Drosophila melanogaster: one gene and its partner. The protein of the gene in region 1 interacts with the protein of each later gene in a pairwise test. Each region holds a gene or a part of one and is shown in the gene's direction. Other genes may lie near its edges.

Evidence for each region. Proteins that work in one complex are often made in the same cells at the same time.
Region 2: the proteins of CG13157 (region 1) and Rbp9 interact in a two-hybrid assay, tested with the Drosophila melanogaster proteins (one large-scale study listed by BioGRID).

What each region holds. Positions count from the first base shown.
Region 1 is NT_033778.4:12,414,387-12,418,146, forward strand, and holds the start of CG13157 (uncharacterized protein), read left to right. Parts: upstream 1-1,657; 5' UTR 1,658-2,068; coding exon 2,069-2,486; intron 2,487-2,770; coding exon 2,771-3,756; 3' UTR 3,757-3,760. Other genes in the region: Cpr49Ah (cuticular protein 49Ah), read left to right, coding at 1-467.
Region 2 is NT_033779.5:2,952,622-2,956,381, forward strand, and holds the start of Rbp9 (RNA-binding protein 9), read left to right. Parts: upstream 1-2,140; 5' UTR 2,141-2,692; intron 2,693-2,758; 5' UTR 2,759-2,886; intron 2,887-3,760.

The sequences.
Region 1 (3,760 bases):
CAGATCATCATCGTCATGAAGATCACAGAGAGACCAGCACCTGGATACCCATAATCAAGTACAACAAGGAGCAGAGTGACGATGGAAGCTACAAGACAGAATACGAGACGGGCAATAGCATCATTCATGAGGAAACCGGTTTCCTCAAGGACTTCGACACCAATCCAAATGGGGTGTTGGTTCAGCATGGCCAGTACTCCTACCAATCCCCCGAGGGAACTCTGGTCAATGTGCAGTACACGGCCGACGAGAATGGATTCAGGGCCACAGGTGATCACATTCCTACTCCGCCGGCTATTCCCGAGGAGATACAGAAGGGTTTGGATCAGATCTACGCTGGCATTAAACTGCAGCAGGAGCGTCTGGAGCAGAGGGCCAAGACAGATCCAGACTTTGCGAGGAAACTGGAGGAGCGACGCGTGGCCAACCAGAATGGCCAGTACATCGGTCTGCTGGAGAACCAATAGACGAGCTCCGCCCATTCCATTCCCCCACCGAACCGATGATCCTGGAAACGTAACTTCTTCGCATTCTATATCAACAACAACAAGACTGTGATTTCATTCTGCAAGCTCTTCCAAATCCAAATCGCTGTACCACACTGAATGATAATCGTTTAATAACTTTTGAATTTCCCACTAAGTACCATAAAACCAACAGACAGGGGCGCTCAATCAAATTAATAATATTTTATTAACGAGTGTGAAAGTTTCGCTGCTTTGAAACAATAAAAGTAAACTAACGTTTCCATTATGCCGAACCGACTTGATGATGGACTTACCATATTTTCTGGCATTATTTTTTTCCGTTTTACAGCTGACCATATCCACGATGTTCAGACAAACGTGACAAAGCGTTTATGGGTCCTCATTATTTTCTCAAAGTATTTCCCCATTTACCGTGCATCTTTCGTTGCTTTATTATTTACTTCGCAGATCGAATTACGTTAGTTTGTTGATCCCATTCCATGCAGGTTGGGTTTTCCAATTTTCCATATTTCTACATCGCCGCCATGGAAATTTTCTTTCGAGAGGAGTCTCTCGACTGGTTGCCAGTTGCATAATTACGACAGATTTTCCAGTGCCATTCGACTTGTCTTCGCGGGCAGGCGTTGCATGTGGAAAGGCTGAGGAAGCCAGTTGAAGTGGTCCACGAATGGGTTACTGGCGTAGCCCCGATTTCGCGCCGAGAAACCTCTTCGTTCTGCCAATTATTGTATTTAACGTAGGCTACCTTTACCGTTTGGCATTTCGAATGGAGTAGCCCTTGGCTACGCAAATATTGAAACCAAAAACCACTGTCATCAGGTTGAAAGAACAAACAACCGAATAACCTTTTGGGCCACAAAACGGCAAACGATTTGGCCACCTAACATATTTGCATATAACGTAAACACACTGACTATACTCTGCGGTTATTTCTAGCTGAATATAAATCAAATCCGCTGCATTTTCACCACCGCCGTAGAAACAGACCCCGAAAGCGGGGCCCCGAAGAATGTTTATTCGCCATTAAGTTTCAACGCTCTTGCGCATAATTAAGACGAAAAAAAAACCATATAATAACGAAGCCGAACAAAGGAAAATTTCTATGGCCCGTGATTAGAAAGAATCTTTCTTGTGGGCCTGTGCGGTGCTGGAATTGATTTGGCCAACTCAGTTGCCGTTTACAAGCCGTCGCGTGCAGATCGCAAATCGCCAGCAAAAGAGATACTTCCTCTACAATATACAATATCTATAAGAAAGCTGAAGATCGAATTCGCAAGAGCGTTACACCGAAAACTGGTAGCGATAATACAAATATTTGTTTGTGGGGAGTGAAAAGAAATGGGGAAGTGAAGTGGTTGATCGACAGAAAAGTGAAGATGTGAAGAACTGTAGATGTGAATATTACATTGACATCGAAGCAACGTCAAAGAAAAAATAGCAGAAGCCAAAAATTAAACAATAGATTGTTATTGTGGCTGCTGAAAACGAGAATGAATCAATAAACCTATAAAAACGAACTGTAAAATTGAAAAGTAGCACAGCATCTGCAAAAAAAGAAGATAGACGTGTTCAATTTAAATATGGTTAGTCATTGGAAAGAGTGTCTACTGTGGTCGCTGATAGCCCTCAGTGGCTGCCAGCTAATTGCCACACAGCAGCTGCAGGGTCCTCCCCGTCCCAGGGGGCGTATACGCATTGCGGATATGCAAAATCCCGTTTCAGTCGGCGGAGCACCTGCTCAGGCATTGGGAAACTGGCCAATTGTGCCGGCTGCAGGCCCCATCAGTTCCACTGTGCACACCCACATTCCACTGTGGCGCGAGGAGACCGCCCCCCTGCCGGCCACGCCCAGTCAGGAGGCGGTGGTGTACGGCAACTGGAAGCCAGAGCATCCGGAGAGGCCCGAGAAGGTGGACACGAAAATCGATTCGGAACCGCAGCCCAAGGAGCGGGTCTACGGACGCCTGGAAGCCATGCTCATGGGATTGCCGGCAGATGGTAAGAATTCAACTTCGAATGTGAATTTCCTATTAATATAAGTATCATTAAAAACAAGCAAACGCTGCTAGAATTTAATGAAACTAAAGTCTGCTTAGTCTTTTATTTAATAGGTTAAATATATTTTCAATAACCTGAATTATTAATCTCTAATGTTATTGATTTATATTAATGATAACTATATTGAAACCTAAACATCTTTTTAAAAAGATCTTCATGTAGCGTTTAATTTGGTCTCTGTTTCGAAATTGTTTGCTCATGTCTCAAATACTTCTATGCCGCAGCTATTGATGCCAAGCCATCAAGTTCCAGCGAAGAGCTGTCCGCTCCTATTGCCCCTGGTGGCTACCAGAATCCTGCCTATTCCCGACCAGTCAGTCGTGAAAGTTCAGCAGAGAAATATGGACGCCGGCGCATCAGTACTCAGCAGGTGCCACAACAATTCGAGTTGGCCAGGGTCAACGATTCGGAACCCATATTGAAGGCAATATCCAAGCAGATCAACGAGTCCGTGGAGACGACGACGGACAATCGAAGGAATTCCAAGAATTCCGCCGACGACAACTGGTTGCCCCTGCCGTATCCGTATCCTTACGATACCACAATGCCAGCTCCACCTGCAACGAGCTCCGTGGTACCAGGATTTATGCAATCCTCGGTGGTGCATCCACCGGTTCCCACACAGCCCACTAGATCCACTGCGGGTCTATTGAATTGGCCCACTGATTTCATCGATAGCACATCCCTTACGGTGAGCACCGAAAGGATAGATGGGAGCATTCAGGGGAGCATTGACCGGCGCGACGAGAGCGTCTCTGATCCTGTGGACGAATACAAGTACTACGAGGATTCTCTAAACTCCGCCCAGATGCACAGCGAACTGAGTGTTCCAGAGACCGTGCCGCTGAATATAACCCGGGTGGGCATTCCTTACGAGGATCGAAATGCCTCTGAGGAGCCAACCATATGTGTGCCTCTCACCGTCTCGGAAACTTCGCTTTCCTCCGACAGCATTGTGCCCCAGTTGGTGGAGGTCGAAAGGGTCTACTGCTTCCCCCTTCCCAAGGTGGAGATACGTCCTGGTCATGCTCGTCCGCAGGTAGAACAGGTGACGAGGCAGCAGGAGATACTAGATGCAGATATGGATATACAGCCAACCCAAGTGGCTATACCGAGTGATTCCGGCGCCGGATCCCCGCAAAGATCACTTGGCACGCTCGCGGTGCTCCTCGTTATTGCTTGGAGCTTCCGGCGAGAAAATAGTATTTAAATTT
Region 2 (3,760 bases), on another chromosome or scaffold:
AACACACATTAAAAGTTATATTAGCTCTACGTCTAGTCTGTAAGCTCAAAAACGAAAACCCAACCAGCCCACCCCCCCCCCCCCCCGCCCACCCTACCCCCTTTTCCTGTTACCCAAAAACATAAACATTTTAGTTGAATTTTGTTTTCGTATGCGTACAGTAAGGAAGATGAACGGCTTTTTAAATTGTTTAAGTTTTAGTTAATTTTACTTTGCAGCCTTGGTAAAGAAAAATGTTAGCAAATATAATTATACATATTATGGCATATATAAAGAAAAGTTATAGTTATAAATTCTTTATAATATTTCTATATGAATTATGTTTAACGCAACTATTTTATTAATTTTAAATTAATTTTTAAAAAGCAATCACAACACGTTTTTAGAACAAAATACATGAATGAAAACAATATATATTTATATTAATATATATTTCAAATATATACACGCAATTGTATTTCTCTTTTGGTTTTATTTCTTTCAACCCATCCATAAAACCACCTCATCCACAGTCTATTCCCAACATAATTCATAAATTCATAATGGGTGCCTCAAAACTCTCACACAGACGCAACAACTAATAGTGCATTAGTAGACTTAAACGAGTTAAAAATCAATCGAAATAGACTTGCCCTCGAAATAGTTATATAAGCTGTACATATAGCCGCCAGTATACAAGAAATATATTTTTAAATGCCAAAAAGTGAGCGCTGTAAACTACTTTAAGCCAACTTCAATCAGCAGAATTTGAAAATGAGTGGGGATTGGGATAGGATGGTACGATGGTAGGATGGTAGGATTCTGGAATACATTCATATATTGACCGAGTTGAGCAGCCAGCATTTTCTTGTTGACTTTTATTTTGGCATGTACGAAATCGAAACTACGAAAATCAAAGCAAAAATGTAACGAAAAACAAAACGGAAAGCAAAACAAAGTAAGAAAGAATATTAAATTAATATTAGTAATGGTTCTGGGGAAACAAGGCATTCGCTCGCATTCGACAAATGAAACCGAAAACAAACATTTAAATTGTAGACAAATTTTAAGTTATCACTAAAATGACGAGTGCCGAATGCCGATGGAGAATTTGCGCAACTTTATTGTGCAGTGCAACTACATAAGTGTAATTATTATAAATTGGTACACATGCATACATATGTATTGTTAATTATTAAAACGATGTAAATAATACAATTACGTAGGCGGGAAGACACGGACACAAACATGCATATAATTAAAGTAAGCATAATTACATGCCTAACTATAAATAACTATATATTGGTATATATAAAGATATATAATATATATATATTTTTATATATATACACGATGAATTAAACTAAACAACGTAGAAATCATAGTTAAATTTTTTCGAAGTGACAAGATTAACGTGCAGCAATAAGCAACCGACAAGAACAACAACAACAACCACAACAACAACAAAAACAAACGAAACGCGCCTAGTAATAGTTAATAATTCTATTTTGTTAAGCGTTATTGTAGTGAAACGAAACAAAAGAAAACCAAACAAAAACAAAAACAAAACCGAACCGACAGATCGAACAGCAAAACCAACAGAATTAAGTTTTAAGCTGGACTTTGGAACGTGGAAAGCGAGTAGAAAACCAAAATGAATGCAAAACATGTTGTTCATTGACAAAGCTAAAAGTAAATATATATTTTGTACAAATATAATTAAATTCAGCCGCAGCTAAAACCAAGTACACTTATTAAAGTTTAAGCAACAACAGAACAACAACCAATTTAATATGCAATTACCGTAACAGTAGTTGATAAATCGAACGAATAAAACATCAAAAATTGTAACATTTACATAACTGCCTTTTGTGTCTTGCTTTTTTTTAACACTATGGATGGTTGTAATAACGGAAGGAGATGCTTTAAAAATTCAGTGTGACCAGGCAAGGTTATAAATTCATGTCCATCTGTTTCAAACAAAAGCTGGAAATTCTTAACTCCTGTTCCTTAGGGGAACACTTGAAGCCGAATGCAATTAAAACGATTTCTTATCTTGATAATGCTCATGACGAAAGGAAGTTTCGATCAATACGAGAAAAACTTTTTGCATGATTAATCGATCAGTGCTGGTAAGTCGCCAAAGTAGTCTGTCAGTGTTAGCAACTCAACGTGTTACTTGCTGTGCTTTCGACAGCGTGGTGTCGATTCTTCGAATTCATCGTTTACAACTTCATCATAAGGAATGCAAAATCAAAGCGATTTTGTGGGTGAGATCCCCAGGTACACTCGCAACAAGAGAAGGCAATATCAGCGCCAACGACGTAAGGCACATCCGCAAATTCCAGGGGTATTAACAGGAGGACCAGAGCCAGAGAAAGTCAACAATTGTCAGAGAAAGAGACCCATCAAGGGCCACGTGTATGACTCCACCAGCGAGGAGGATATGACCATCAAACGTAAGCATACAGACGCCTCGTGGTACAAGGTTCAAGTTAAATGCGAGAATGTGTCCCCGAACATCGAGGAGAAGCACGGCAACAAGATCAAGCAGCCTTCCTTAGCGTGGAACAACAACAGGAAGCCCAATAAAGGGGATCTACCACAACCACCGCTATCTTGGCTTTATCCCAACCAATCTAGGGGCTTTTATGACAACCAAAGCTGGAACTCTGGCGGCTCACGTCAGAATCAGTCGCAGTGGGAAGCACCAGTAAGCTGAAAATCAATTATTCATTTAAATAATTAAATTAACCGAATTTTATATGCACATCCGCAGAGGCAAGAACATTCATCTTCAGCTCAAGGCCGTAGTGCCAGGAACCCATATCTGAACCCTATTCAGGAATCCTGCAATGGGCGTTATATTATTGAACATCAATGGAACACGACCATTATCCATCACAAGTAAGGTAAGGCAACAAGAATGAATTACATAAAAACCTATTCGCTAAAGAAGATTTAACACAGCCACTTATTGTACACAAATCTATAGTATGTCATTTATAACTACATCGTGGGGATTTTCCCGATTTCCCAAACACAGGACATTTTCATGAAAGGGCCTTACATGTCTGATCAGTTAGGTAAGGGTTAAAAGCGCAACATTTTGAGATGCATTGGGCCCCAACACCTATGCAAAGTGAGTGCATGCATGTGGGTTGCTGTTATTGTGATGGTGTGCAAGCAGCAACAAAACAAACCGCATATAAATAAGGAGAGCGAGGTATTGTTGCATACTTGTAGGCAGCGGGATGGGGGTGGAGCTGTTCTGTTCCATCCGCTCGCAAAGTTCAATGGTCTTTTGACACAAATGATGATGATGTCAAGTTGAGCTCGTCCTACGCTCCTGCCTTGCTCTCTCTCTCTCTGATGCTCTTTCTAGCTTGCGCTCTTGGGTTTAAAGCCCCTCTGGCACCTTCCCTTCAGTCAGCAGCCGTTGTTGTTGTTGCTTAAGTGTTTGTTTGGGTGCCGTGCTGGCTCTCTCAGCTCCAACAACAGCAATGCGGCCGGCTTACGAGCCCCGGCTCTCTTCGCCTCTTTTGGAGCTCGCTCTTTGCCGAACGGAGAACCTACCGCAATTCGTTTCGTGTTCACGGCTGCATTTCCTTGTTTATGTTTTGCGAAGCCAAATGTAGGGTACATCGGTTAAGTGCCGAGCCAGGAGAAAGAGAGAGCGAGCGAACGAGTACCGTTATGTTGCCGGAGCTGTTGCAGGCTGCGCAACTTGCGGCTGCAGCTTTTTATTATTTGCCTTCTTCTTCGCGACCGTTACTTCTCG